Linked DNA regions of Drosophila melanogaster. The protein of the gene in region 4 interacts with the protein of the main gene of each other region in a biochemical or structural test. Each region holds a gene or a part of one and is shown on either strand. Other genes may lie near its edges. The genes, in order: myo, daw, Actbeta and tok.

The links.
Region 1: of the proteins of tok (region 4) and myo, one has a biochemical effect on the other in vitro, tested with the Drosophila melanogaster proteins (one study listed by BioGRID).
Region 2: of the proteins of tok (region 4) and daw, one has a biochemical effect on the other in vitro, tested with the Drosophila melanogaster proteins (one study listed by BioGRID).
Region 3: of the proteins of tok (region 4) and Actbeta, one has a biochemical effect on the other in vitro, tested with the Drosophila melanogaster proteins (one study listed by BioGRID).

The regions. Positions count from the first base shown.
Region 1 is NC_004353.4:689,519-698,448, reverse strand, and holds myo (myoglianin), read left to right. Parts: upstream 1-2,393; 5' UTR 2,394-2,752; exon of another isoform or gene 2,753-3,111; 5' UTR 3,112-3,235; intron 3,236-4,032; 5' UTR 4,033-4,059; coding exon 4,060-5,068; intron 5,069-5,605; coding exon 5,606-6,024; intron 6,025-6,089; coding exon 6,090-6,458; 3' UTR 6,459-7,763; downstream 7,764-8,930.
Region 2 is NT_033779.5:2,803,509-2,812,487, reverse strand, and holds daw (dawdle), read right to left. Parts: upstream 7,228-8,979; 5' UTR 6,887-7,227; intron 4,167-6,886; exon of another isoform or gene 3,952-4,166; intron 3,509-3,951; 5' UTR 3,178-3,508; coding exon 2,235-3,177; intron 2,121-2,234; coding exon 1,845-2,120; intron 1,340-1,844; coding exon 960-1,339; intron 891-959; coding exon 729-890; 3' UTR 112-728; downstream 1-111.
Region 3 is NC_004353.4:1,078,197-1,087,250, reverse strand, and holds the start of Actbeta (Activin-beta), read left to right. Parts: upstream 1-2,454; 5' UTR 2,455-2,637; intron 2,638-3,977; 5' UTR 3,978-4,124; coding exon 4,125-5,124; intron 5,125-6,043; coding exon 6,044-6,994; intron 6,995-8,421; coding exon 8,422-8,678; intron 8,679-8,731; coding exon 8,732-9,054. UniProt on the Drosophila melanogaster protein: Controls several aspects of neuronal morphogenesis; essential for optic lobe development, EcR-B1 expression in larval brains, mushroom body remodeling, dorsal neuron morphogenesis and motoneuron axon guidance.
Region 4 is NT_033777.3:24,717,693-24,723,433, reverse strand, and holds the start of tok (tolkin), read right to left. Parts: upstream 3,738-5,741; 5' UTR 3,695-3,737; intron 3,378-3,694; exon of another isoform or gene 3,214-3,377; intron 1-3,213. Other genes in the region: CG13630 (uncharacterized protein), read left to right, coding at 4,153-4,306, 4,376-5,113, 5,172-5,404; Polr2L (RNA polymerase II, I and III subunit L), read right to left, coding at 5,530-5,638, 5,722-5,741.

The DNA.
Region 1 (8,930 bases), on a different chromosome or scaffold from region 4:
AAAGAGAGTAGGAGTAAAAACTCCTACCAGCAATGTAAGGGGTATCTGTTAGTTACGATCTGCGTAGCTATATTATAATATAAATCATAGACTAATCACAGATGTCATTACTCGGTATATATAACTATTTCCTTTTAAGAGCGTTGTCCCTTTTTTAGAAATGTGCTTGTAAGACTTCATTCTGCAACTTTCTCTCTTAAACACGGTGGCGATCGGAGAACATCTTATGGCCTCACCGAGTGAGTGGCAAGCCAAAGGGCATTACATATAATTTTAAAAAAAAACGGTATATTCCGAATGGGTGCAATGTATGACACAAAATAAAAATATTAGAGTTTCTCTTCTAATATTTTAAATTAAATTTCTGACCTTTTAAATGACCGTCGTCACTTTTTGGTTAAACCAATTCGAAATTAATTACGGTCAAAAGCCTTATTAAAAAACTTTCGGATCATAATTATTTCGACTAATATATGTACTACCTGCAATAATAAGAGGGCTTTTGGGAAAAATTCACACAGATGGGTTTAGTTAGTAGGGAATAATATTTACAAAATATACATACATATTTATATTACGAATGGTCGCACATGTATCCTGATTCTTTTATTAGATATTGATTGTCACACATTTTCTTCGATTTTCGGATGGGGGAAAAACAGTATGTGATTAAACACTAAAACGAACGTTCGTACAATATTGTTTATGCAATATTGTTTATATTTTCTGTGTATTTTGGTATTTTGTAGTATCGATTGGACTTCAGCACGCATCTGCTCGTATCAGGATGGCAACTCTCGGCGTGTAAAAATACAAACGGCAACTCTTAACATATATAGAAATCGATATGGCAACCCAATACCAGTGATTGCGTAGAGAATACGTTATTTTCAAAAATTCGATGCAGTAAATAAATAAATTCACAGATATAAGAATGATAATTTAGCAGACCTAAAGAATCGGTCCATTAATGAGCTATTAATAGTTCAACTAATCTACTCGTTGAAAATGTTGTGAAAAATATTTGAAAGCCAACTAAAGCGTTTCCTATTGTTAAACCATTGCAGAGCGTATAGTGATTTCTGTCAGAAAATTGCAACGTAGTGGAAATAATAGAAAAAAAATTATAAATTCTTGTTTTTGATCAGGAAGTATTTTAGTTCTGTATTTATCGGTTGAATGCGTGATCGCCATTTTCGTAATATTAGGTTTATCGCACGATTACCATCTATATGTGCGTAGATGAAGGAAAATTGACGCACTTGTTGAAATTATTTTATTTAAATCTTTATTATAACCAAAAAAAAATCGTAAATTGTTAACCACAATGGAAAAAATAAGTAGCTTACAATCCATCCAATAAATAATCTCTTATCAGTTACTTTGTTGATACATAAAAGAAGTCTTCTCCATTTGAATTGCTATTCTTAAGTAAAACAACAGAATTGCTGATACAAAGCAATAAAAATAAGTTAGTACAGTGTGAACACCTATCGTTTTCTTCCATATCGATAGGAAACTCATAAATGTATGTGTGGAAAGGCTTAAACATCTGTACGGGCGTCGATATATCGACAGCTAATCTGGAAAACACTAGACATCGCGGTAATTGTCCCTACCCTTTTTATGGAGTTCCCAGATTGCCTTCTTACACAACCATATTAATGGGCAATAATTATATAAGAAGACTGCGGAACAAAGGGGACCCGCACGAATATGTACTTGATTTAATATAAGTTTCTTTTATACACATAAAATTATTTTTGCATACTTATGTAAGTGCGTTGGGTACTTTTTATTAATTCCAGAGTAACGACATTTTTGCCGTTAATTTAAAACACGAAATGTTAGGACAAGAATGCGGAACTTCGGTTAAATTTTAAAAATTCCTTTGTATCAATATAGTCATTCCAGTAGTACAAATTAATACGCATGTAATTTTTGTTGTATAATAGCACTCAATTTTGTGTAATAAAAAAAAACAACTAGGGAACCAAAATTATAGAGACAAATCAAATCCTGCTAATAAAAATATATCTTATATAGTTTCTTCGGGTCTATTTGAAATCTTTGAAATGTAAAAATGTCTACACTCATAACTTATAAGAGTTAAAACGGCTTAAGGATTAAATTGATTTACAATAGAAAGTGATTATTAGCGACAGTGGAAATATAAATAAAATGTTTTCTAGAATTGTAAAAAAAAAAGTAGGAGTATATTCAATAAATATTTCATTTTAATATAATGCTATTTTGCTCGATAAAAATGTTAATATGAATTAAAGTTTACTCTTGCAATGCGTTTCAGCAGATACATTTTTAAAAGCGGCCTGTTATGCCAACTAAAACGAAATTGCCGGTGAGCCGTATGTATCCGATCGCATCTGATCAGCTGCTTTCAGTTCTACTTCGTCGCTCAATCGCACAGCAGTACAGAATCTCTGCGGGTTTTCAAATATTGGTTCTCTATGAGAAATAAATTATTATTATTTAGTGCGCAATTGAATACACAATTTTTTCAAACTATGTGTTTTTGGACAATGAATAATAAATTTAACAAAAGCGGATTGCAAAAGAATAATGTTCGAAACCGTAGGCCCACTGTTACTTCAATATAAAACATTTAATAATATATACTATACATATATTAAAACACACAATTGCCTAGTTTCAAAATAGATTTTGGTTGTACAAGTGTATAAAAATAAAATAAATACCGATAGATAAGTATATATCTACTTATGTACAATTGGTAGGTGTTTAAAAAGTTTGTTATCGCTAAATGTACATAACTTTGTACATACACAGCTTTAAAAATGTACATATGTGCTTATATGCATGCTATTTATTCTGTATGTATGTATAATTTACGTATGTACATACATATGATATATCTCATTTACGTTGTTCTGCTTGTAAAAGGGGAATAATGCACTTTCAGCGATGAACTGAAGTTCAAGAGCACAATAATTTATTATGTTTATAAATGGTTTTAATTGAATACAATAGTGGTCATAAAGAGGACTCATGTGAAACGTTTATGAACGGGCTTTGCATATGTGCATGTACATATGTAGCTTGAACTAACTTTTACGACTGTGTGCACATTAGGGTGGTCATTTTCTGCTGGCGCATCGCGCTTCCAAGGCGGATCAAACAATGCAGATATGATTTTTAATTTTTAAAAATCATTATATCCGGTGCTGCAGGATTTTATACTTCTACTATATTCAAAGTAAGTTTTTTCGTAGCCTGAAACAAGTTTTTGAAGGTTATTATTCCGTTATTCCGAGTTTTAGAATATTCACGAGCACACAAATCAAGTGACGATCGCAGCCTCACCGTGCCGATTTGTGACGAAAAATGGTTTTACAATTGTCAGTGTTTTTTCCTAAGCTTTATAGCCATAGAGCCATTTTTCCCTATGGCAGGTATATAAGTGTATGGTCGTCTGATTTTGATCGATTAAAAACCTAAATTATATATTTTCAAAAAAATGTGCATACTGAAGAAGAACTCTTTTTATTTGAAAACAACGAGTCTATAATTTTTTTCAACAGTTAGCTATATGATATGATCGTCAAAAGTCTATCAATTTAAAACCGAAATATTATATTGTCCAAATTTTGCCAATAATTTTAATATTTTTGAAGTTAGAGATCGTCAGTGGCGTAAGCTATTCAATTTTTTTTTTTTTTTTTTTTTGTATTGACTCGCGAAGGGGAATCATTGACTTCCGTGCTAATGCTTTAATAGGGTTTAAAGGGGTGCGCTCTTCTTTTTTCTCTGCACAGCTGTTTAAGGTATTACCTTGGGAATCCGACTTAATCGAATACAGCAGGGGATTATCTAACAGCTTGTATTTCGCGATTTGATTTTTAAAAAAATTGTAAAATAAGGCCAACAAGAGCCAAGTTGATTGGATGACAAGATCACCAGCCGCTGTCTCCAAAAATAAATAATAATTATTATTTTTATTTTTTCTTATTTTAAAATATATCAAGTATATTTATAAATACAAGTCCTTTTCAGCATTCATCAACGGTTTGATCAAAAATCATGCTGGCCAACTCATGCTGCGGTTGGAGAAAATATAAAACCCATGATCAGCATCATAGAACCCTAAAGAAAAAAACTCGACAGAACACATCAGATACAACAGTTCACATAGAAGTGAACTCCAACGAAATCCAGTTTCCAGGTTCTTACAGATTTAATCTTGACTCAAAAAAAATAAATATCGGGCGAATGAATATTCTTGGACATAAGAGAGGTAATTTCCGTGTAACTCGATATGTCACGGTCACCGTACTCTTAATTTTATCGACTGCAGTCAATGCTTATGCTCAGCCAGAAAATAAAAGCTTCAGTAATTCTTCCAACAACGATAGTCCGGAAATGGTTATGTTGAGTAACGAAACAAACAATAGTGCAAAAGTACTATCAGAAAAAAATGGTTCTTCTTCAATATCGGCGGATGATAAAATAAATGAAAATATGGGAATATTCCAAATGAAAGTACAAAGTAAACCGGGGAAAAAAAGTACCCCTTTAGCAAAGGTATCAGAGCATGGAGATTTATCAAGAGTTCAAAGTGTATCTTTGTATCGCAATACCTTAATAAATATAGAAAGTATGCTACAGCGTCAGTTGCGTGAGAAAGCCAAAGTGGATAGTATAGAATCGATTAAAATGCACATACTTATGCGCTTGAATTTAAAAAAACTTCCCAATATAACAAAACCAATTTCAGTACCACAAAATATAATAGATAACTTTTATAGAGATTATAATGCATCTTCAAAAACTACTGTTTGGAATCGCATGGAAAGCATTGACGAATCTCATTTGTCTATAAATGACACTTATGGCGACCACATAATGACTGATTTTTTTGATGAAAGTTCATCCTCCCAAATGCAGGGAGATGATGCTAACACTGTTAATGAATTTCTGATAGATTTGAATAAAAATCAAGCTAAAAAGTCGGACATTCCTATTAATACCAACGATGAGGAGTACGAGAGTATTTTGTCTCACATCAGCAGTATATACATATTTCCCGAGGGTAAGTAAACAGCATTCTTAAAGTAGATATAGATATAGGAAGATATTGAATAAGAGAAGATATTATATATAAGAGTAGGTATAGATAAAGGGAGGAAAAGACAAGGAGAGCTTAAGAGAAGTAAAAAGCATATATAACGTCACTAAAATCTGTGTAAATATATTTCTAGACTTTTTGTAAGTAAGAAGCATAATCATTTATCTTATATTTATATCTTTTTTGGGCCCGATTTGGTTATAGGTTTAGATTTCGAACTTTTTTCCTTTAATAAGAGAAAGCAAGCAAAAATACATATGACTTCTTCTCTATCTTTAGAAATTGTTTTCCCAAAATTCATTGGCGTAGTGTATTTTCAAAAAAGAATCGACACATTTCCTAAAATCTTGACGAGGTAAAAGACAAGTGGCATTGACCCCTTTAACATACAAAAAATGAACTGTTTACAACAAACATTAATCAATACCCAATTTTTGCTTTTAAGAAATCAAATTTCAATGAAAAAATTAATAATTTTCGTTTATATTTTCGTTCTTTTAGAAATTCAACCTCATGTTCGGCACAATCGCAAGGTCGATGTTTTTCGGTTTCAAATTGACAGTAGCTACTCAGACTTGTCTTACGCTACCCTTCATCTATATTTACGTGGTTGGGATTGGATAAGTGCTCATCAACCTGGACTTCTTGAAGAAATTAAAAAACAGCCACGTAAAGATATTGTTGTGACTATTCACCGCGCTATTAGGGTTGCAAATACAACAAGCTTTAATCCTAAAGTCAAAATGTTTGAGTTTCGACATAGTATTCCGTCAGGACTTGGACAATGGGTTGCTGTGGACTTAAAGTCTCTGCTTGGTAATCTTGGGTCTAATATGACGCAAGAAATTCTAATAAAGGGCGCAGAAACCTGGATGAAGTCATTAGTGGTGACCACAGACAACACATCGAAAAATCCATTGGTTAGAAGCCATTTATAATGAAGTTGAATACACTTACTCTACTAAATATATTTTTAATATTTCAGACTGTTCACATAGAAATTGGGTCGCAAAAAAAGCATCGAAGAAAGCGCAGCGTATATATGGACTGCACAGAAAATGATCATGACATGCGCTGTTGTCGATATCCCCTCAAAGTTAATTTCACCAGCTTTGGATGGCATTTCGTTGTAGCACCAACGTCCTTTGACGCATACTTCTGCAGTGGTGACTGCAAAGTTGGTTACCTAGAGCAATATCCCCATACACATTTAGCAGCCTTAACGACATCGGCCACACCGTGTTGCTCGCCGACAAAAATGAGTTCCTTAAGTTTGTTATATTTTGACGATAACCATAATCTGGTTTTAAGTGTTATACCAAATATGTCTGTCGAGGGTTGCAGCTGTTCTTAGCGAACAAAATTCGAAAGTGTTCTTTGAAAATAGAACTAATACATATGCTATGTAAATAAATTAACGCAAAGGAATATGGATCTGTTTGAGAAGGCTAGTTTAAAGTACAATTCCCAAATTTGATATAAAATTTACATTTTTAAAATGTAAAATAGGTCAGATTGCATGCTGATGATTCCCAAATTAATAAATAGATCGCAATTAAAAACAGTAAAAAATTAAAAAATATTTAAAAATGAATTCCTACATTACCGTATAAGATAAGTATAGAGCGAAACAATATATTTTAAACTGTGCATTACGAATTACAAATGAAAAGCAAACAAAAAATAATCGTTTTAAATAAAATGATTGTATGACGCATAAAGAAATACACGGTTAAAATAAACTAAGTACCTTAAGTTTTGATAAAAATTGAGTGAATAACAAATGGCACCGTCAGACAAATATAGTCTGAACGGAGGCTACATGTGGATCATTTACGGTTGTGTGATTACCTAATTTGAATACACAGCTAAATGTATAAAGGTGTTCATATCCCGTGCATCGTGAGCATATAGAATATTTTACAGTGAACGGCTTTGTGCGTGTGCAAACGAGACTTCCATATGCTGTTCTTTTCAAGACAAGTAAGGATTTGTATGAATAATGTTGATTAGAACAAAGGCTAACCTTACGTTTCGCAAAGCACACAGAACTTATTTCATAATAATTAAAAGTTAAATAACGTGCCAGAGAAATATAGATATACAAGTAGCAATGCAGCGCAGTGGCGTTACAGCGCTCACTTTCTCTATCTCCATCTACATAGTGTTAAAAAAAAATATGCTAGAATTGGTTAGTTTTGAAACTTATTCCGATTAGTTCCTACGATATAAGCTCGAATGCTTGGTTGAGTGCCAAAAAGAACTTATTTTTCTTATGCGTTATTTTCGAATCTTCTATTAACACTACTTGTCGCAGGATTGGCTTCTAAACGTTTGCAAGAGTACTTAGGAGTTGTCAATAATAATAATTTTGACAAGTGCTCCAACATTAGCTGATGATAGGTAAGCACTTAAAGGGGATAGTCGTGAGATGATTGTGTGACATTCCGAATATAGAGTGGGTGAAGATAAAAACTCTTGAAAAAAATTACGGCATTTTGCCAAAAACTTAGGCTCGCTAAGGAGTACCATCGCCAAGGAGTCATACGATCTTATCTGGATTACACGTCTAAAGCGTTCTCTTGTTTTTTTTTTTTTAATAGAATATGGGTTTCGATATACCTAAGCTTTCGGTATAAACTCATAATGTCAACCCCCCCCCCCCCCCCCTTTTACTAATAAGCCAACCAATTTATTTATTTCCGAAAAATTTATTATATAACCATTTAGTGATACATTAGTATATAAGTTGATATACTTATATTTCCATAAATATTTCTCATATAAATTTAGGGCTCTCGGTTCTTAAGTTGGCCCTTTAATGTGAATACTAATCAGTAAAATGGGAATGCCGATCTAAGTCGATATATGAAATGTACTTTAAGATATATTACTTTTTGTCGAACACAATACGGATATTTTCATATTGTTAATATTTTGTTTTTTGTTGTTTAATGTTTGTTATTGGGCGCTTACTTCTCTTTTAATTACTTTTGTATTATACTTATAATTATAAATTTTAAATTAGGTGAACGTATTTATATTTTACATCTATATTAATTCTTATTGTTGTTTTGCATAAATTATTTGTTTTTGTTTCCCAATTGAAGTGATACCTCGTTTGAATTAGTAAAACATTCGTTGTAAATGTATTAGCCGCCAATTATAAGTTAAATGCAAGTCCTTACAAACTGTGTACAAAAATATTTACTACTCTTTTTGTTTGTACGTATTACAAATTATATTTTTTGAAGACTATTCAATCTTTTATTTGAGCGTAGCACAATAGAATTTATTGCAGAACCAAACGGTCGAATTAAATATGCCACCAAGATGTTAAACTTGGTAAAAATAAATTAAATAGACATTCTTTACGTCTTTATTGGAATTAACATTTTATTGTTGCACAATTTTTTGCGCTATTCTAAAATAAAAGATAAAATGAAATTTAATTTGTAACAAAATATGTAAGCAACATTTTCAGGTAAAAACATTTAAAATATTGACTATAAATTGCAATTGTGAAGATATTATATTTTATAATTTTTCAGAAATAAAAATGTCTCAATTGCCGAAGTCCGTAATTTAATCTGAACTCGACTGTTGGGGTATCCATATTTTCTATCATTAATTTTCCATGAATTTATTTTCAATGTTATATGGGAGCTTTTTTCATCAAACAATAATTATGGTTCAAGTTTGTTATAAGCACCATAGATACCGTTTTATTTAAAAAAAACGTAAGTAATGGAATTTTACAGATTAATATGTTCTATTTATTTTATTTAGATATACTTATTCTTTGTCATATGAATGAGAACGCATT
Region 2 (8,979 bases), on a different chromosome or scaffold from region 4:
ATTAAAATCAATCACTCTGCAGTTATAAAAAAAACTCTGTGACGTTTTACGAACAGGTAAGTAAGCTGTTTATTAAAAAGCAATACATTTTTACAAATCAATTGTTGAATTGCAGAGCTTACCAAACTGTAAAGTGCCTAAAGGTATGCTATATTCCATGGACTTCCTACAAACCAATTACATTTTCGACACAACGTTTTACCATTTTTTAATTAGTTAGGATATTTTCTAAGACCCTACATTCCATATTGTAACTCAGATACTTGGTTTTCTATACAGTAATGTGCATTATGCACTCCGATGAGTTTGTGGTACGCTGCCCCTATGAAAAATGCATATCTTACATTATATTAATTATGTTTTATTTTGCGATTTTCATGTTTTCTGCTAATAACTCAAAACACGCTACTTAAACAATGCAAATCACTACTTTACGTTTAAAGATAGCTATTAAATTAATTGAAGCCATTGGCTAACTACCTACATACTTCGAGAGCTTAAGTACATTGACTTTAGCTTTTAACTATCAACTAGTGGCAGCTCAGGCACTACAGGTAACTACGATTAAATGACAACGCTAATGTAAATGCTTTGCAAAATGAGTTTAAATTAGTTGGAGAGAAATGTAGTTGGATGGTTGGATGCTAGCTGAAATGGAGCGAAATGGAGTCTACGTCTAATTTGTCCGATGTAACGTAAATGTAACTTGGCTAATTCTATTCGCCTCTCTATCTGCAGCCACATGACTCCACCACCATGTTGGGCAGCGTCTTCACCGTCGCCGTGTTGCTCGAGTCCATCACGACCAGCTGCAGCGAGGAATACTGTTTGGCGGTGCAGCAGGGCACCAACTCCAGCGACTTGTTAGCACCGCTCGTGGAGAGAATTTTCTGCAAGGGAAGAGGATATACATTAGTTTCATCATCAACACATCAGTTCCTGTCGAATGGGGTACCTACCATTATGGAACTGTGGTGGGAGGCCGCTTGCGTAACACTCGCCACCGAGCTACAGGATCCGCGACAGAAGTAGGCATTGTAGCCCTCCGGCTTCAGGATCCAGTTGCTCCAGCCGATGTCCCGGAATGATATGTACAGGTGCTCCCGACAGCACTCGGTCATTCCGCTGGAGCAGTTGATGCTGCGCTTCTGGCGACTCTTGCGCCGCCTGTTCTGCATGTCGATCACGATGAATGGCCGGTAATCCTTGTCCACCGAAATGATCTCCTCCATGTCGCTGACATCGCAGCCACCGCAGGTGATTTGGATGAGGTGGCTCAGCTCGTGGCCACTGATCCAGTGTTTGATGGGCCACTCAATGTCGATCTTCATCCACTCATCTGAAAGTATGCGAAAGGAAAGGCAGAGCGGTTAGTTGGGGGTTCCACAGAGCCATCTTCTCTTCTCCCAGAATCGTAGATCCCATCTTTCTTATCTGGTAACTGACCCCAGGAACTCACAACTGTGCTGGGTTGTGGCCAAAGTTCAGTTTTTGCACCCACGAATAATGCTTTGTCAAGTTATTCACCCACATGAATTTCAGATTCGAGCCGAGCTATCAAGCAGTGCTATCACGAATCTGCGCAATGATCTGTCTAATTGAAAACACAAACAAGCGGTTGTCAACGTTGGCACTTATCGGCGTTCTTTATAATTTTTATAATACCCATCTAGTATAGACATGTCACATATTTTGATTTGTCCCCCGAGGGTATTGAGGGTCAGTTTTGGCCGTTCCGCGGCTGCCGACCAAAGGTCCAAACGTGTGCGATTCTTTTCTGGGCATGATTACGCTCTGGGGGGATGAGTGTTTATGCTATACTAATGTATACTATGTGTACCCACCTTGCACATTCACCGACTGGATGGCTATGGTCTTGGCCGCCGACAAATACTTGGAGTCCTTCTGCTGATCCACCTCCACCTCGGAGACTACGATCGTCTGCTGGGCACTGGTGCTGTTCACCGATGCCGTGTCGGTGCGGTTCTGTTTGTTCTTGAAGAGCCACAGGACGGCGGTGCTCACGTCGAAGCCCTCGGCATCTGCGTCGTCTATCTTGAAGGTGAAGCACATGGACGGATTGGATTTTCCATCTCTCGCTCGGTTGCACTCGACCTCCTCTGTAAAAATAAAGGATAAAGGGTTGTGTTAGCAAAATCAGAATGGTAAAAGGATTCCCTTTGAAGTTAAGCTTCAATCTTTACTTTCTAGTGCTTAAATCTAGATTTGCTTACCTCTATTGAGCAGTATGAACTTCTTGCTAGTGCGAGCGTAGTAATCGTCCAGCTCCTTGTTCTTGGTGCTATCGTCCGGATGGGAGAGTGTCATCCCGTCGAAGATGGGCTTGGGCAGCTCCACGGCCGACACCTTGGGGCTCTCCTTGAGGCGCAGCTTCTCCAGGATCTGCTGCTTAACGAACTCGATGCGTAAGTGGGTCAGCTGCTCCTCGGTGATGTGCTCCACTTGGCGATTGCTCTCGCACTTGGGGCATCCTCCGGCGCTGGACTTCACCGAAATGGTGATGTTCCTCTCACCCAATGGGAGCTCTGGCTCTATGGGCGTTTCCGGCTGCTGATCTAGGTCCAGATCGAGATCGAGATCCTTCTCCTGATTCTGCTGGTCCTCGGCCATCAGTTCGTTGCGCACAAAGTCCAGCGGCGACAGATCATCAAAGTGATCATCGGAGGAGAGGGATGACTCCTCGGGGGCATCTCCGTACATGATAGGCAACTCCACGGGCGGGCTCACATGTCGGTGTGCCTTCTCCTCCTGCTCCATGAGGTGTTGCCACAGGCGGGGCACCTTTAGCTGCTCCGAATGGGAGCCGGGATGGTTGTAGCTGAGCTCCTGCTGCAGGAGGTGCTGCCTCTTGTGGATGACGTGGCGCCTCAGGCGGGCATAGTACTCCCGCTTGGTGATCGGTACATCGTCCTCCTCGCTGGTCGGATCCGGTTCCAGGTGTTTCAGCTGACGGGATCGTTGCTGCCGGATATGGTGTTGCTGCTGCAGCTGTTGCGAGGTGTGCTGCACATGGGGATGCGGCTGGTGCTTAGGATGCGGACGAAGGATGTCGCCACGGGAACTCGGATGGGAGCGGGCGTGCAGGCGATTGTATACGTTCCTGTTCTCCAGGGCCAGACACACCAGCAACACCAGGGCTATAAAGTACTTGGCCATTTCTGAATATGTACTTATGACTTCTCTTTTTTTTTAACTGTGAGATATTTTATATGTATCTTATGATCTTCTGGATCGCCTTTGGTTTCACTCTTGTTTTGTCGGCTGGGGCTGATTGCTATCTGTTTGGCAGCATTAAAACATCAATTTTTCCGGCTTTCAGGTTTACAAAACTCATAGAATTGCAGCTGGTTTCACTTATTGTTGCCGTTTTATAGCCTTGTTTAAGCACTTTTAAAACGTTTATGCGTTTTTTATGATTTTATATAACAACGACTTATACGCTTGAATGATGCATGTTCAATATTTTAAACTTTTCGTTAAGTTTCGTCTGCAAATAAGAAGAAATTTGTAACTTAGTTAATATTGTAAGCACATTCCGATTATTAATCAAATAAATTAAAACAGCTATGCCCTAAATTTTCTCATAAATATTTGCGAACGCGCTGCCCCAATTAAAATGCAATTTAATATGCCAGCGGATCAGGTGCATTTATCACTATCACTCACTAAGCCCGAAGTCTCGCTTAATTTTTGCACCAAATTGCATCATTTATTCCATATCGTTGAGCTCGAATTGGCAGGTGGCAAAGTGCAAATCGTTTTTTTGACATTAATTCCGGGAAGATTTAGTTTAGTTCAGTATTCAATTTCACATTATCACATGGGCTATTTGCCCCAAGTGCGACTCAAATCGAAAGCGTAGTTGCGCAGATCCGCTGATAAGCGGGCTCAATTAGATGGCAATTAGGTGGACGTGGACCCCACACGTACCGTGGTGAGCACACTCCGATTTGCTCCAATGGGATCTGAATCTGCTCAGCCGGATGAATCCGGCGGGGGTTGCGGCATTAACTTTGAACCCGGACACGAAACACGAGTGGCACGGGCCTTTAGCTATAGCTGGGATCGCGCGTCTATATAGTATTCCACTTGTGGTATGGTCTATGATATAGTATGGTGCTTCTTTCTCTTCCGACATGCGGCAGCGCAAACGAGTTGTGAATGAATGAAGCGGTTGGCTGATTAGTAGAACAATTTATGTGACGATCGCCGAGCGTTTGATTGATCGTTCCGCGAGCGCCAGCCGAACCGAACCGAACCGAACCGAAACAATCCGAACCACTCGAATCGCATCGTATCTGACGGATCGTTTCGTATCGGTTGCGGACTCGGATCCAAGCCGAGCGGTTCGGGTCTCGATTTATGACTATAGACCATGGTTATGGCTACATGGCGCTCTCTCTTTAGCCGAAGACAATTGGATATGCAAGTGGGGTGCAGCATTGCATCAGCTTCTTGAAAACGCCAAGCCACCGAATTGCATAAAATTCTTAATTGCAATTTTATTTTTAACCTCCCGCCACCCTGACAATGCCACGCCCCCAGTTGGCGGCGTCACTATCTGTTGGCATTTTTGGCACTCGCTTGGCCACAATGGGGCATTTTGATATCAAGTGAATTTATGATCGCTTCAAACCGAATCGAATCGAATCGAATCGAGTCGAGTGGCCCATTCATGCTAATTACCCCGCAGCGTTATCAAGCTTGACTTTGATGATCCGACTCGATTGTGTGTCAATCAATTAATAGTGAACACGTTGCTGATAAGGGGCGGTTTCCCACTTTTGGTCCACAAATCGGGAGCATGGAATATGTAGTGCGGCATTTAACCAATTAAGTACGCTTAGCATGCGATTCTGGGCAATCCTAATCGGATTCGGTTAATAGATGCGCATTTCAAATACATAGTGTGTCTGTTTTCCAATTTAAATGCGAATGGGAAATTCATGAGTATTTCGGTTGGGAATTTCATCAGCCAGAATTTCTGGTCTCGGCTAAATGTGAAGCAGTCGAGTAAGGTCAAGAAAAGTATTTTGAAGGCCGGCAGATCACGAGTTATATTATACCGCCTATTCGATTTAGCCTTAAATGCTGAACACGTGCCCGATTCGCTTGTCACGAACTGTGATTTTTCTGAACCCAATTAGATCATCGAGACGAATAGAAATGATCTATACTATACGGAGGAGAAGGTCCGTTTAATTGATAGAAATTTTGTAGGCCTCAGCGAATTCTGGCAACATTGTTGGTGCGGCTTAAGCAAAAGCAAATTAATAGGGGTTCTTGTTAGGAAATAATACAATAAACAACTATAAGTATTGCATACTCCCCAATTTCATATTAGATTATGACACCTTTGACTTGCACAATTAAGTTTAGTTTTACGTGTTCCCATAAGTTACATAAGGTATTACACTTTTCCAGTGGCCCTTTTCCAATTTAAATGACGTCCTGGCCTTCAGCATATGTCGCACCACTTATCAACTCATCGCATATTTTTCCACAACCTACGTAGATTGCCACGTTCCAAAATCTGCTCCATTTTGTTTTTTCCAACACAACCAACCTGACGTCGATTAAAGCGACTGGGGGCCACATAATGACGGATCAGATCGGATGGGATGGGATCTGATAGAATGGATGGGGATCGGATCAGGAAGCAGGGCTTGGATTGTAGCACACACGCGACATGTGACACGTTTTGTACGTACTCTTCGTTTTTGACGTAACTCGAGCTGTCCGCACTGCACTGGACTTAATGACTGACTTGACTGACCGACTTATCAAAGGCAGGAATCGAAGCCGAGGCGTGCGACTGCGATGTGATGGGGGCCCGCGGAAAAGGGGTGCCGCTGGGAAGGGGGACAGAAGTTGAAGAAGGTCATTTAACGCCCGGCAGTCATGGCTACGTCATCGAGCACGCCACCAGCGCGTGATCAGAAGCAAAAGCTGTAGTGAAGACTCCGCGGTTGCCATGTCGATGCAAATCGGAGCAAAAAACTGCTGTGCCTGTGAATGGGGAGTTGGGGGTCTGGCGATGCGTCGATTGGAGGTGCAAAGTACAGCCGCTTGATGGAGATGGCTTCTTGACTAAGCGACTCTGCTTGGGGGTTTTCCATGGGCCTGCCCGTATCATTTTCGCATTAATTACGGGGCAGCTGGGACTGGATGTGGGGCTGGGACTCGGACTTGGAGTGGGGCTATCGTAATTGCCGGCAATTATCACTTGCATTTCTTCTTCGCGCGCAGCAGTTGAATGCACTGCGACAAAAACACGGCTGCTTCCATCGGTTTTTGGCAATAAATCACGGCGATCACGCCGTTCTCGCCGATCAGCGGTTGGGAGCATGCCACGATCTGGACTTTGGAACCGCTCACGGAGATTGCCCCGATTGCCAGAAGCCAGAGGCCCGAAGCGTCGCAAATTAATCTGCCATAATACTTTTCTCGCCACACGCTCATCGGCGATGCTACCATAAATCAAGTGCAGGATTAAATAAGATCATCATTGGTAGCAACTAAATTTGGCCAATGACTCTCGACGTGGCCGAAATTCGCCAAGAGCTTTTGGAGGTTATGCGCCTGGGTTATAGGCTCGAAAACTATCAATCAATCAATCGGTGATAGATAGGCCTCTGATCGATAAACCATTCACTGCATGATTAGTTTTTAATTACGGCATGATATTCCAAAAGCGAAACTAGAAACTTCCCTGCGATTTGGTAATAACTGATATTGAGCATTAGACTGCTAAAAAAAATATACAATTTCTAGTATCCCATGTTGAGGCTGATTCCATAATTCACATTTTTGGCACTTTTATTTAAACTTCTTACACAATAAGCCCTTGTGTTATGTAACTCACCCAAATTAATAATCCATTGTCAAAATGCTTGAATAACTTAGCACATTGTTTGCAATCTTCTGCGAAAAGGGATGCTTATCAAATGTCCTTGAGTGATTCTACAATCGATTGTCCGTTTATTTGTTTTCGCAAATCACTTTCGCAAACTCATTATTGTTTTGAATTTCACCACTTGAACTTGATTTCCTCAAAATGACGAGCTGATATTTCGCTGAGCAAAAACAAATGTTTTGAAGAAACATAAAGTATTATTCGTTCACACCAAGTTTCATGTACGATTTGCACGATTTGAATAATTTTCGATCCGATCGTTGGGAACGTCTGCGTGTGAATAATTCGACGATGGGCGGCGCAGCGGCCACAAAAGCCTGGAGCGGTACGACTAACGGTATCTGTGGGGAGCGGTATGGGTGTGAGTATGGGCCTGGGTATGGGTATGGGTATGGGTATGGCCCACTCTTCGGGCGGCAGACAGTTGAGTTTCAGTTTGTTTGATAACAGACACGCCGCCGATCATTGGCGCACTCCGCTGCTCTGCGTTTTAAGCGATGCGCAATTCTACTTTGCTTCCAGCAAGTGCGACAGAGAGAGAGAGAGGGAGAGCAGGGAGAGCCACTGATAATGGGTGGCTTTCCCCCCTGGCCCACACAGCAGCGTTTTAGGTCCGGTTGGCTCCCATCCGATCGCCTCCTGCATCGAACACCCACGCCGCTCGAGGCTGGAGCATCGAACAAGTTCGCTGGCCGGCGCTACATGTTCGATGGCCGTTCGTGAGTTCGAGCTTGTTGGGAATGAGGATCGAGCCCCAGCATTCGTCACCCAAAAACGTGAGCTGACGTCGTGCCGGTGGGGTTTTATCGCTCGATCCAACCGGTCCAAAGTTCAGCGGCAGTCCAGTCCAGCGGATTGCCTTTGACTTTCCCTGATAGCCGACATTGCCTAATGGCGATTGGTTCTCACAGCCAAAGCGATACCATCGCTTTCTTTTGATGGCCCAATGTCTATTAATAAGCGGTACTAGCGAGAGGTATGACTAAAATTGACGTATAACCATGAATGCTAGAAGAAAGTACATATGTATCATCGAAGAATATGCAAACAATGTCGTGTAAAAGACTGAACAATTAGATGTAATATAACGAATGAACTAAGTATACTCAATTTCAGACTCCACCCTACGTATGCCTTCCTGTTTTTGTTTAGCTCTTGGCCAGCTAATCGCTTTCCTCTTGACCAATTTACGATGTGGCTTTTACGACGTTTGGGGTTTCTTGTTTTTAACTTGCTGGCTGCTTCAATTGATTACCATGTGTGATATCATAATTTTGAAGTTTTCACGCCCGTCGAGCATGGGTCTCTTGAGATTACCTCGGAGGACAATAGTATGTAAATGGCTAATATTAATTAAATGCTGGCTCTGATTGCGTATCGCTGTGTTTCACTTTCAAACCTCATGCCAATCGACTGATTAAGTCCGTTCCGAGTTTTGTTTACCTTGAGATTTCACAATAAAGCATTCACCTCAAATATAATGCGATGGAATCGCACAATATACCTTTCGTGATTTGTATACTCAGGATCGAGGCAAAATCTCACTCGAAACGTCTAATTTTTAAATGTGGCGCGCGTGCTGAAAAACACGTCACAATGCACGGCTTATCGTGGCCGGGCCTCTGGAATTTCAGTTTTTAATTAAAACAGTGTTTTGGTGTCATAATTAAGTCAACAATATATGATGCTTATACCCTTGATAGGGGTACTATGACTTTAGTTACACGTTTGAACTGCAAGCTTAAAGTTACCTTAAACATCTAAAGATTCATTCTAATATTTTCTGAACTATTCATCGCTTCATTTGATTATAAATGGCCTTATTCGTCTAGACTTTGGCCTTGCATTTGATCAGGAAAATTCTATGACTGTCTAGTGAGCATTTGATTCAAATTACAGATCAGGAAAGTAAAGTCTAAGAATGTGAACTCAAAAAATAGAGTTATTGAAACGATTTGAATCTATTTCTACTATTCCTGGTTTAATAGGTTAAGAAGAGGGCCAGCAGAACAAAGTCTTCTGATTACAGAGGATTTCTTGTT
Region 3 (9,054 bases), on a different chromosome or scaffold from region 4:
AGTGTACACAACAGAATATTCAGGTGTTCATTTACCGTCATCCCTTGAATTCTTTTGCGATCGAAGGAAATGTCTTGGACGGTTGCCCGCGCTTTATTTGTGAAACACCTGTTAGACCGAACCGGAAAAAACCTACCCTTCGATCGCGCCTCTGTTAATTTTCCTTTCTGCTTATATATACTCCTTACGTGGTTAATTCGTGCATTAGTACCAAAACTGGTGTTAAGTCACTAGCAAAAGTTCAATGATCTTAAATATTATTATTATGTTATTATATATGTATGTATTTATATGAAGAATTCTGACCAATATAAGCTCTAAAAAAATATTCGAAAATTTTTTTTAGTAGCTTTTCATTTAGAAGGCTTTTCTTTGGTTATTCCGCATGCTAAACGGTGGGTAACTATTTGTGTTCATATGTGTGTATGTGTGTATATGTAAGTATATAAATATTTTTGTAGAATTCGCCTGGTAGCTTTTGATATAAACAATCGGTATTCATATGTTTTGGTATGAAATTCGGTATTTCAATCGTGGCTCGTGGCTTTTCACGGTCTGCAAGCCAACCGAGACAGCTTTTCCGCCGTTTCTTTTGGTTGTTTTTGGCTGCTAGGTACTGGAAATGCTACTGCTGTATATATTATGTTATGTACTATTTATTTATACTACTTACTTTGTTGGTATACTCTTTCCCGGAATAATACATATAGTTATTTCCGGAGATTTTCGGGAGCCGAAAGTTAATACATACAGACAGAAGGGGCTTTAACAAGTCGATAGCACATAAAACCAGAATAACATGATATCGGCAAACTAAGGTTTATATACTCTTCCAATTAAAACAATGTCTTGGATAAAGTTTTTTAACCCGTGCCACTAACGTAGACGACCGATACATGCCAGTCAGTCCCCTTGTCCGTCGGTCCATCTTTATAAAAGTCAAAACCTATAAAACTATAGATATCAAAAAATTGAAGTTATCCGTCCAGATTCTAGTAACTCCTACGAGGCTTTTGCTTGTATCAAAACGTAAATTATTTATTTGTTATGTCTATGTACATGTATGTATATGATGAAAACAACCAACAACAAAATATTCGTATTCTATTTCTAGTTTGATGCAATCGTTTCGAAGGAAGTAAAAAGTAAATGTAGCCAATAATTGTAGGTATTCCGGTGAAGTTACGTATACATCCTCTTTGTTCTTTCTGTTAAATATTCTTCAGAGAGTACGGTTTACCCTTTTTTTGTTAACAAGTAAAGGATAAAGAAATATTATCTGCTGGGCTTTTCCTTATATCGATTTGCATAACTAAAATCAGCAAAATAATAGAATACTTACTCGAATTTCACATTTGGAAAGTATGTAACAACCAGAAGGAAGCGTTTCCAACCATATAAAGTGTGATCAGGATCAATAGCCGAATCGATCTGGCCTTGTCCGTATGTCCGTGTATCCGTGTGTCCGTCCGACCGTCTGTCCGACCGTCTGTTCGACCGTCCGTCTTTCCGAATGAACTCGAAATCTCATGTACTGTACGTAAACGTAAAAGCTTGAGATCAGCATACAGATTCAAGCGACATAGACGCAGCGCAAGTTTGTTGACAGATGTTGACACGACCACTCTAACGCCCACAAAGCGCACAAAACTGGCACGCCCACATTTTTGAACAATTTGTGGATAGTTTTTCATAATTTCATCTAACGCCCACAAACTGCACAAAACTGCCACGTCCACACTTTTGAAAAATGTTTTTATATTTTCTCATACATACTTTTTCATACAAGACTAATAATCTTGTAAATTTCTATCGATCTGCAAAAAACATTTTTGCCACGACCACTCAAAGCGCTAAAATCGACCAAAACTGCTACTCCCACGTTTATGAAAATGTATTGGATATTTTTCATAATTTTATTAGTCTTGTAAATTTCTATCGATTTGCCAAAAAACGCCCAATATAAAGCCCGCAAACCACGAATAACAGGTATAACAATTTTTTCCCATTTTATTTCCCCCTAATATCGATATCCCAGAAAAATGATGAAATTTTGCGTTCGCATTCGTACTAGCAAATGAATATAATATTAATATTTATATCTTGATTTGAATCTAACTGAATTGGACGTAAAGTTTTACAGATAAATCTGTTAATGTTTAGGCGCACATAGATCGACACAAGATCGACTGCTAATTTGGAATTTTGGGTAAACGATTCCATCTACGCTTAACAACATTTTTATTTATTAGTTACGATTACGATTTAAAAATGATTTAGGTTATTGAAATTCATCCATTTGAATCTGCCGACTTTTTAATCGTGAAAGGAAGCATATATCGATAGCATCGATATTCTTTCTAATTTGAATGGCAACAGATATTTCTGGTGCAAATATGGCAACGCTGAAATATTGTTATTTTCAAGAAAGCTTTTGAAAAGCTTAAAGTGTCATCTTAGTTTCACAAAGTATGCAATGTCATTTAGCAACCAACGGAGATACAAAATATTGTTTCCGTGCTAAAAGGAAAAGCATAATACATTTATAAATCGTGAAAATGTGATAGTGTCCCTAATATTTCTCGTGAAGAAATATATTTACTTAGTTGAAAATTTATTGTTTCTAAAAAGAAAAAGGTGATACATATTGTTACATACACTGATCATAAGCCTATACACATAACCACCTTCCTTCTTACATATGTACAAATTTTTTTGTTGAACGCATGCTTTTAATTCCTCTTCATCCCTTTCCGCTGCTAGGCTTCTAAGTAACCACCATTCAGGCGTAGGTCTTTTCATCTGGACACAGTCTGTGTGTCGCCTTGAGTTCTTCAGAAGGGACGGATGAGTCTGTCTGTCCGCTTCTGTTGGTGCATGGTATGAAGTATTTCTGGCGTAATAATAACTGTGCCATCCGAAGCTCGGCGTCAGGTTTAGACTAATTTTAATGTGTTGTACCCTTTCAAAGTGTATATTGATTTAAGTCAGTTTCTTGCAACGCAGTAAAGGAGACAATTACGACCACACGAAGAATATATGTTCATCTGTATGGCTAGCAGTAAGAGCCGTAACCGTCCGTCCGTTTCAACGCAAACTGGTTCAATTACTGGTTAATTATCAAGTAAACAAGTATTCGGAGAATATATCATTTAAGATTTGTATACCCGTATATATATTCCCTTACTCGTAGAATCAAAGGGTATACTATATACGTTAAAAAGTAAGTACCATGTAGAAGGGAGCATTGCCGAGCATACAAAGTATATACAGGGTGCGGCAGCATAATTTCCTTTTTCAGAACTCAATGAAAACTATTGTAGGCATCGGAAAAAATTTATTTTTTTTTATATTGTACGTACATGTCATATTTTTTGAAGATGAAATCTGATAGGTGACGTCCCCCATTCTCCATACATTGCGTAAACCGATTTCTGGCGTTTGTCGTGAGTCTTGTTAGCATGGCAGGTGTTATGATGGCAATTTCTTCTTGGATGTTGGTTTTCAAATCTTGTAGGGCTCTTGGACGGTTCACATAAACACGGGACTTCAAAAAACCCAATAGAAAAAAATCACAAGGGGACAGATCGTGCCGGCCATTCCAAATCGCCTCTAATTGAGATAAGGCGCTCTGGAAAGTGTTCCCTCAAAACAGCCATCGATGCTCTTGAAGTATGTGCTGTTGCACCGCCTTGTTGGAACCAATTTTTGTATATAAAAAACACTTTGGCCACAAAACGAGCGAAACGGTCACGCCCACATTTTCAAACAAATTTAAAACTTTTTCGTATCTTTTTGCACAATATTTATAAATATCCCTGAAAAATTATGAAACTTCGCATCGGGGAAGTCGACTATAGCTTTCTCCGGTGTTTTTAATTTATTTGCCAATTTGTAGCCTCCTCTCTTGTTTAGTGTCCATATTAATTTCCAGTTAGCTTACCACTTATCTAATCGAAAATTTGTATTTTGAACAGGCAGACGAAATGAACGACAGAAAGGAAAGGAAAGGAAAAAGATTTGCAATGATTAAAAAAATATTTACCAGAAAAATAAAATTGACAATACTTGTACCACGTTTCTAAGGGACAGTGCCTGTACTACACGCTTGCCATATATCAAAGATGCGATTTGCCTTCGATTCTAATCATTCGCAATCGGGGGCGCCATTCAAAGGCAGCAGGTGTTTCTTTAATTGTCAATGCATCTGCTGTCGCCAAGGATGCTGCGTTGTGGTTGTAAAGTGCTGTTGCTGCTTTAACTTAAACTGCTGCAACAGCCTTGGCTCCCGGAAGTCATTTCCACAACCCGCTGCAATGCGTAAAAAAGTTGCTGACCTCGAAGTCCTTAGAGTATCAAGGTTTGTGGCGGTTATTTTAGTGCTGGCTCGGTGGGTTACTGCGGTAGCGACACTCCTGACAAGCTGCATACTCCTAGACATATTTTCCGTGCCTGGCCAGTCTGGAGTTGCAGATAGAAGCCAAGCCAGCAGTAGGACAGTGCACGTCTCGGTTCCTACCACACCTAATGAAACTCCCAGTAGCACTTCGGAGACGAAGCTAAAGTTGCTTTATGGGTATACATCGTATGACATAAATAACGACCAACAGGTAAAGTCCAACAATTTATGTAGAGTGCTTTGTAAAAGTCGCAATCGTAAACGACAGCGAAGGAGGCGACGCCGACGCAATCACAGACGACGCAGGCACAGATATACTAAGCGACTTCATCATCTAATGCAAGATAATATGAGCGGCTTTGAGCAAAGACTTAATTTTAGCGATGCCAAATGCCAGTCTTTGGAGACAAATTACGGAACTAATTATGACTTAGTACAAGGAGGTAAACTATTTAGTCAGTCAGAGAGAAGCCTACTGGTGTCCCCTTTGAGGGAAATTGAAGCACCTTGGCCAGCGATTCATGGTTCAATGCGTAACTGTTCAAAGATTAAACGCAATAGAGCCAATCTTATTTGGCTTCTAATTGGACTCGTCTGGTTTGAAGTCAAACTTATAAATTGCAATGGGATCAGCAGTAGTAATTATTATGCTTCGAATTTGGAGAGTCACAAGGGCTGCACCTTGTGCCATGAAAGCGGAAAGCCCAACATATACACCGATAAAGGTCAGTTTTCAAAAAAATTTTTTACATACTGAATATAGGGTAATCTTTTAATATTCTTATTGAGACTAAAAAAAACTACATTGAGTTTGGCGTTATTAAGATAAAACAGATGTGAGTTGTTGTGAAATAAGCGGTTATCGTACTGTACCAAAACTATTGCAATGCAGAATTTTTTGTAAAATAAATTTAATTTGTAAGATTTTTGTGCTATTTTTAAGTAAAATAAAATCATTTTCAATGATTAAATTAAATATCTATTGACAAATGTTGTACCACTAGTAATGTAAATAATATTTAATACAAGGACCACCCGCAGTAAGCCTGGGATATTCATACCCCCTTAAAAGGGTAAATAACAAAAAATACAAAATATCTAGAACAAATTTTCATAGTCTGGGTGAGTTTTTATCTTAATATTGCAATTTGTTTATCTTAAGGATTGGAAAAATTTGCTTGCTACACGATTAATTTCGTACATATTTTTGAATTAAAACATTACGAGTCTTGAAAGGTATTCCTGTCTCGTCTAATTTTATTGTCATAAAATAAAAAAATTATATATTGTTCTTAACGTAAAAACGAAGGAAATGTCGCTCCAGTGACGTAAATATGTACAATACTAGTCAAACTCGGTATTGCAAAAAAAAACAGTAGAGGTCATAGGCGCTGGATTTCAGAAACTATAAATAGATTTGATTATTGATTTTATTTCTTTTCGAGATTTTTGTGAACCATAAAAATAAATCCAAATCTTAAAATAATAATGCTAGCAAGACAAAAAAATATTTTTAAAAAACGATAAAACTTGTGTGATATCGGGTAATGAAACTTTACTAAAAACATAAAAACACTCCATACAACAACAAAAATTTATATAATGAATTTTACATAACACTTTACAATTATCACATTCACACAGATAATCCACACACAGACTACAACATCTACAACAAATACCATTCCAACAATAATTTCAACAAAAAAACTAATCAACCCCATAACAACATTGCACCCAGCGATGAAGTTCGTTTGGAGTCAATAAAACGGCAAATTTTGACAAAGCTTGGTCTTAGCCACAAGCCTAATGTATCTCATCCTTTACCAAAGCAATTTATTTGGGAAACAATATATCGAGTCGATGGTGGACGAATGATACCAAACAATGCATTTGGGAGCAGTGGTAAGAATTTAGATCAGAAGACTATCAAGCTGAGGGCGTTTGCCTCGCCCGGATCACATTTGTTTAATGGCCGAGGTGGAAGGACCGATCAGAGAAGCGAACGGGATCCCAGTCATCATAAATATCGATCCCCGTTCGATTTCACTTTCAATATAAGTAAAAATAATGTATATGGGAAAGTATTGAGAAATCGTTCTTTAGAACGAATCGATAAAAAAAACTCATTCTTAAACGGATGGACAGAAAACCGTCAATTAAAAATAAACTCTCAAATTGCATCTATGCCTATAGAACTAAAGAGCCACCATAACAGTAGTCCTAAGGAGCTTAAAAGCGGAGCGGTCAGAAAAGTTAATGGCATCAACGGCACACAAATGAATGAGAATGCCTTAAAAAAATCTACATATCCTATAGATATAAATCATAGTATTGATAATAAAACCCATACTGGCAAAAATGGTGAGATGAGCCACAATGATTATGAATATTTTAACGATTACAGTGTTCAGACTCATGATAAAAACCGGTACCATGAAGGTCGCTCTAGCATTGGATATCAGCCAGCGATCCACAACATAGAATATGAAAATCAGAAAGGACATCACGAATCTTTTGCTGATGATCATGAAAATATTGATCATGAAGACTTCTTTGGAAATACGCAGGAAATAATTACATTTGCTGAAGAGGGTGAGTAGATTTTTATTCAACACAGGATTAAACGCTATCGTCGAGGGCAAATTAAAAAATAAGAGACGTCGAGTTCGCCGACTATCAGATACCTGTTACTATAAATAAGTAAATATAAATTTTATTTTATACCCGTTATAACTAGTGGGTACGCAAACGCGAAATTTCATAATTTTGCTGGGATATCGTTGGATATTACGGGGAAATAAAATGAGAAAAAAATTGTATAATTCTTTAATAGTGAGGGAGTGAGCCTCTTGGGCGTTTTGTTGGTGAAAGGATGTGCGTGATCACAGTGTTTTGGTATACCGGTGGAAATTAGCAAGACAAACAATAAAACAAAGAAAAATCTAAAAAAAATTTTCTAAAGTGTGGGCGTGGCAGTTTTTTGGCAAATCCATAAAATTTTAAAAGACTAATAAAATTATGAAAAAATATCCACAAATTTGTCAAAAAAAAAAAATTGTCGGCGGCATTTTTTGGGTCGTTAGAGTGGGCGTGGCAAAAAGTTTGTTGACAAATCGATAAAAAAAAATGTACAAGACTACAGACTAAAAATATGAGAAAATATCAAAACTTTTTCAAAAGTTTTCGGAGGTTTGTGGGAGTTGGCTCAACACACGTGCGATGCGTTTAGGTGTCTACAATCGGTATGCTTCTAGCTAGTATGCTTCTAACCTTCTAGCTTTTATAGTTCATGAGATCTAGACGTTCCATACAGACATGGCTAGATTGATTCGGCTATTGATCCTGATCAAGAATATATATACTATATATAGTCGGAAACGATTCTTCCTGCCTTTAACATACTTTACTATACTATACTATACTATATACTATAGTTACTATTATATATTATTATATTATAATATATATTAATATATAGTAATAGTAATATACAGTAATAAAAATAAGAAAGAGTGATCGTGCCCAAAAAACATTAGGCAAATCAGTAGAAACCGGCTTGTGGCGGTATGTATGGCATACCGATAGAAATTGGCAAAACAAATTATATAATGACTAAAAATAAAAACGCTTTCTTAAAAGTGTAAGCGTGGTAGCTTGTGAGAGTGCTTCTTCTCTGAAATTTTTAATTTTTTATCTGAACTTTCTAGATTTTACAGGCCCTGACATCGATACGATCGATATGGACAAAAACGAATATATTTAAATACGTTATATTAAAGTTGAAGTAGTTGAGGTTTTTTTAATGTCTACCAATATCCGCCATCTCTAACGCCTACAAAACGCTTAAGAGTACATTTTATATACAAAGCTTTGATTTTTAGTTAACTGTACAAAAATTGTAAACTTTACAATATATCTGTTTTTGAAGAAAAAAAACAATGCAATATATTTTTTTGTAATTCGCTCATATGACTGTGTGTAGTCTTCTTATTCATTGGCATAATATATTTTATTTTAAGGAACCCAATATCGACAATATCGAATACTCGAGTTTTCGGCCCAAAACCGCCGTGTTCCCAGCCAAAAATTATCCATACGAAGCGCTCAGATTCATATAAGGATAGACAAGCCACATAGTCTTTGGATTGAAAAAGCAAAAAGTTTGCCAGAAAAACATTTACTAAACACTAAACGAAAATGGGGAGCAAATAAACCACATCACAGAATAAAAATATGGGTATTTCAGTTATCAACTTCAATCAATATTACGGAGAAGGTAACATTAAAAATATTGTTTTTTAACTAATTTTTAAAGCTCTTTATTTATAGGGAATAGATAAGGCTATTATCTTCCGAGCTTCTTTTCAAGTTGACCCGAAAAATTTAGGATGGCAAAAATTCGATTTAACCGATACAATCCGTGAATGGTACGGCCATACCAGTCACGAAAAACTGCGTTTGTTGATTGATTGTACTGGATGCGGTGGTCGTTACTCTTTGCACCTCTTTCAAACTTCGAAACTGAGAGGAAACTCATCCGACTACTTGAGTACGAATCCCAATCGACCATTTCTCGTACTTCATACAGAATCATCCAGAACAAGGCGTGTTAGGCGACGCGCCGTAGATTGTGGCGGAGCTTTAAATGGACA
Region 4 (5,741 bases):
TGGGCTTTGGCCAACTAAAAAGTGGCGAAACCACGGCCAAGGCAATCGAAGCCATTGAGAGCTCAATGAATAGCTTTGCAACGAGGCAAATCTATAAGATATCCTTGACCCTTAAGAATGCCTCAAGATTTCCCGTTTCACTACCACTACTGAACTACCCAATTAGTCTATCGTGCAGACTTTGAAATATGACAAAAAGTGGAAATACTCATAAATTAGTCTCAAGCAAGTAAGTGAAATATAAAATCTGCTTAGTCTTTAATTAATTACACATGGAATGGGGCCACAGCAACGACGACAGTATTCAGCCAACTGGAAGTGGAGCCACTCACCCACACTCATCCCCAGTCAGGCAGACAAACAAGCACTTGCGACATATCATTAACTTTGCTTTATAGCAACCGAAATTGGGAAGAAACCAAGTGATTCGGAGGGAAGGGGGTGCAGAAAAAGTGGCGTGGCAAAAGATGAAGTAAAAATACAGAAGAAGTAGCTTGGGGTGACACTTTCAATGGCAGGGTGCTCCTGTTCTCGAGGACTTTGGAGGAGGATGTGGATGCGACGGCTGCTTGTTAGCAGGATGGTGTCAGCTGTTGTGCCTACATAGGGAAAAATATTTGTATTTCATGGGATCTTACACTGAGAAAATTCAGCGAGCAAACTAATAACGTGCAAGATGTATAAAAGGACAGGAACTTTTGGGTATTTTTCGCAAGTTAATAGTAAATAACTATGATTGAGCCATTTGAAGAATATAGAGACCTATATTTTTATAAATTTTTTTGTTATGTGTAATAAAGACCCTTTCCAAAAAGCCCCCCAATTCATGGCTGCTGTAGCAGATACAGAATACTTAGTAATATCCATAAAATAACTCAAATCTCTTTTGCAGATTTGCCACCCCGCCTGGTTGGCAGGTAAATTTGGGGTTTAATAATGCCTGTGGTCTATCCGGCGTCAAGTGCAGTTATCTTCGGCTGTCCACCTTTTAGATACCTTTTAGATGCCTCCACAGCTCCTCGAACTTAATTCGCTTTTAATTTTTACCCTGCTGCGACAGCTAAAAATGCGGAAAAATCCCCATTGCCATGGCAAAAAAAGAAGAAGACGGAATATAATAAAGTGGAGAACAAGAACCGAAAAATACAGCAGAAATTTGTTAAGCAGGCGCTATCAGTCTGAAGTGCGTGTTCCAGGAAGATGAGGGATGTGGAAGATCTGGGTTCTGGGATGTGGGATGCGGAAACCCAGGGGCTGACAAAGGCAAAAGGAAGTGGACGAGGTGTCCTGGGAAAGGGAATCCAAATGAATTCTATTCAAAGCGCTGCTGCCACAAAATATGAAATGAAATGTTGTCGCTGGGGAGCGAAGGGGGAGGGTGGTGGAGAAATGTTGTTAAGAAATGCATACGCGGGCAATTTTTATTCCTTGCTGTACTGTCCTGTTGGTCCTTCGTCCTGAGAGGGAAGGGCGAGGGAAAGATCCTGCTGCTTAAACACGAAATGCTTAATGGCCAAGTTGCCACAAAACGTTTGCCAGACAAGGGCCAACTCACTGGAGCAAAAATGAAATGCGTTTTCTGGCTCCCAAGGACGAAGGACCTTCCCGTCTGTATGTCTGCCTATGTGTGTGTGTGGGTGTGCTTATTGGAGCGTAAGCAGCCTGGGCAACAATATCAATATGCGTCTTTTGTGCCAAAGCATTTCCCCGCTAACAATTCTACGCCACCGGAAGTTGATATTCTGGCAACCGGAAGTGTTAGGTGTACCGCCCCAGCCCCCCCCCCCCACTCCTCCACAAACTCAATTCAAAAATTTCATATTTTCCATTTCATATTCTTCCACCTTTCTCTACGCATAAATTTCCATCAGCTTCCATTCGGCTGGCACACAAACAAACAAAGTACGCACTGCGCAGCATATGAAAAAGTTCCGAAGACGAGCAGGCAATGCAACCAAAGCAAATTAAGGCTGATGTCTGCCTTCCTGGACCATTTTGGCCTGCCTTTAATTGCCGTCGAAGATCGAGGATCGTTGGTCAAAACAAAGGGGAACATAAAAAAAGAGTAGACTGACTGCCGGGGAAAAAATAAATCAATAAAAGGCCAGACAAGATGAGTTGGGTACACAGAGATCGAGTTCGTTGCCATCGCATAGGAATTCCCTACTATTTCGCGGCTTTTCGCGGCCACCTTGACTTTCGCAATTGTTCCGTATTGCAAAAAAAAAAGAAAAAACAAACAAACAAAATAAGACACACATGTCTGTGCGACACAAAGCGAAATCAGAAATGATTCTATTTTAATTATGCCGGCGGCCTTTAGATTGCCAATTGACGAGATATGTGCTGCGTCTTAACGACGGAATGAAAAGCGGAAAAGTGGAAACCGCACGGCGAAGATAATAGTGTGTGTGTGGCAGTGTGCCTGTGTGTGGTCGCGTAAAACGCAGAACACCCACCAATAATAATCAAGCGATGCTGGTGGTGCTGAAAATCCGGCGGAGACGGGCCGGGGGATTCTCACTGCTGCACACACCGCGTGCCGTTTTTTATTTATAGCCATTCGAATGCTGCGCTCCTATCAGCAGCAACAGCAGCAACAAAGAAGCAACACCTTCAGCCATAGAAACAGCAGCAACATATGAGATTGCAGCAACAGCGGTAACTAAAAAAGTTGCAGCAACATACGCGATAGCAGCAGCAACATTGACATCAGCAGCCGCTTTGGAAACAGCAGCAGCACAAGAGACAGTAGCAACACATGTGACAGCAGCAACAGCAACTATGGAAACAGCTGTAACACATGCAGCAGCAACATATACAGCAGCAACGACAACAGACAGCAGCAGCAGCATCCTCAACAAAAACAGCGTGTTTACTTAACTTATTGTCGTTGGGCGCGGGAAACCAGAGAAATGAATAATAATAAACATGTTCAACGCAAAACCAAAGATCAGGGCAGACACTGATAACGCTGATTTCAATGCACACACACAAAACGATCGTAATCGAATTTCAATCGAGTACGAAGATCACGAGGACAAAATCAGTAATTGGAGGAGCGAAAACCCTTGAATTCACTTGTTGAGTTAGTTAAGTTGCGCTCGCAAATGATGCGAAACTCTGCCGAAATCTCAGCATCCCTTGCAGGTAGAAATATTAAAGGGGTCCTCTTTTTTTTTTGGCCAAACCAATTCGAAACAAGACACTCACTCACTTCACTGGCCAATAAATTTATCCTGCTGCCCTTTGCGGATATTTGCGTTTGGCCATTTGACTCAAACAAGTTTGTTGCCAATATTCTTTTGTTTCGCGACACCGATTCCGAGTTTACAGCGAAAGCACGTCCGTTCACGACCGAAGTTGCTCGCGATTTGAGAACATAAACAGAGCAGACAGATAAACCGAGTCCAAGTCCAAACTGTTCCCACCAAGAGCATGCGCCGAGAACAACTGCGGAAAAGTGCCCAACAGGCGGCTGCGTTTGAACTGCCGCCCCGACGGACGAAAACAAAGGCCACGAATTCACGGGGCCAGTGTCCCTTAGCCAGATCAAAGATCTCCGCGAAGAACTTACATATTTAATTTGTTTACTTTCAAATTTCGAACGATTTTAAACCATTTGTAAGGAAAGCCCTTATTAACTCTTTTCTTATGTTAATTATCATATGAATACTATTTACGAATCACTTACCATAATAGTAACATTTTAAATGGTTAAATACACATAAAATGGTTATCAAGTTATTTCCAATTTTAAACTAATGCCCGTTACAGCCGGCGACGAACAACCCTGGCACAAACGTATCGATAAGAACAGAACTGGTCCCAGGCTATCGGTGCTTGGAAAACATCGGATATCGATGTAGCGCCATTCTTAAACATTGATTTGGTATTTATTTAATATCAACTTTTTTAATGTTTAATCAGAAAACAGTATTTAATATCAAACCAATAGAATTATGATTTTGCTTGAAGCGTAAGGCAAATTTCCCAAAAAGCCATATTGCTTATATATTGTCATATAATGGTATAAAAAGGTATTTATTTTAAAGCTTCCAGGTATTTTCTATCGTTATCGGTGCGGTCACGCTGTGTTAAACTATTTTTGGCAGGCACGGAAATTTTTCTCGCATTAATTGTTGAAATAGAATGACTCAAAAGTGCGAGACAACCAACTGCGGCAAGGATGCGACCCTGCAGTGTCCCACCTGCCTAAAGTTGGGCATCAAGGGCTCATTTTTCTGCTCGCAGCCGTGCTTCAAAGGATTCTGGAAGGAGCACAAGGCGATTCATGCTTTAGCAGGTCAGTTTTAGAAAGTCTTGTTCCTAATGAGTTGGATTGCAATGAAACCATATAATTCTCTTGACTCAGCCGGTGCCTCGAACTCTGCCGAACAGGATGGAGCCTACAATCCATGGCCACATTTCCGCTTCACCGGCAAGCTCCGCCCGTTCCCACAGACTCCCAAGCGAACAGTTCCGAACGCCATACAACGTCCAGATTACGCCGATCATCCAGCAGGACGTTCACTCTCGGAGGAAGCACTGCGGGGCACCAAGATTAAGGTGCTGGACGACGAGGAGATCGAGGGCATGCGAGTGGCCGGCAGATTGGGTCGAGAATGCTTGGATGAGGGTGCCAAAGCCGTGGAGGTGGGCATCACCACCGACGAACTGGATCGTTTGGTCCACGAGGCCGCCATCGAACGGGAGTGCTATCCGTCGCCCCTCAACTACTACAACTTCCCCAAGTCCTGTTGCACATCGGTCAACGAGGTGATTTGCCACGGCATCCCCGATCAGCGTCCTCTACAGGATGGAGATCTATGTAACATCGATGTGACCGTCTATCATCGCGGCTTCCATGGTGATCTCAACGAGACCTTCTTTGTGGGCAATGTCTCGGAGAAGCACAAGAAACTGGTGCAGGTCACCCACGAGGCGCTCAGCAAGGCCATTGAGTTCGTGCGTCCGGGTGAAAAGTATCGCGATATTGGCAACGTGATCCAAAAGTATGTGGCACCACATGGATTCAGCGTGGTGCGCAGCTATTGCGGTCATGGCATTCACCGTGTTTTCCACACAGCTCCCAATGTGCCTCACTATGCCAGTAAGTTTTCGAGCTGGCTAAAAGTACTTTGAATATTATTAATGTCCTTACTTTGCAGAAAACTCTGCCGTAGGAGTAATGGCCCCTGGCCACTGCTTCACCATCGAGCCCATGATCTCCGTTGGCGTCCAGAAGGCTGAAACCTGGCCAGATGACTGGACTGCTGTGACCGCCGATGGCCTGTACTCCGCCCAGTTTGAGCAGACACTGCTGGTCAACGAAACCGGATGCGAGATTCTCACCAAGCGTCGCGAGAACAACGGACAGCCGTGGTTCATGGACAAGATGTGAGGGTCGACCAACTTGGGCTAATACATAACTTCTAGGGCTATCGATCAAGCTTTAATTTGTAATTTTACAATAAAATCTAGAGTTTTTATTCCCAAGTCCAGTTTGGATGGTTTCCATTGTGCCGTTCACTTCTCCAGAGGAGCATAGTTGAGCAGTTTTTCGATAAGATCCACGTGGCCCAGGAGCATGCGACGGCAGCAGTACCTCTTTAGACCCAAAGCATCCAGGGCATCTCTGGGATTGGATTGTAAGATATAATATATATATATTATATGATGAAATGCGGCGTGGAAAGGAGACTTTCCCGCGTGACTTACCCTTCGGTGTATTCCGCTTG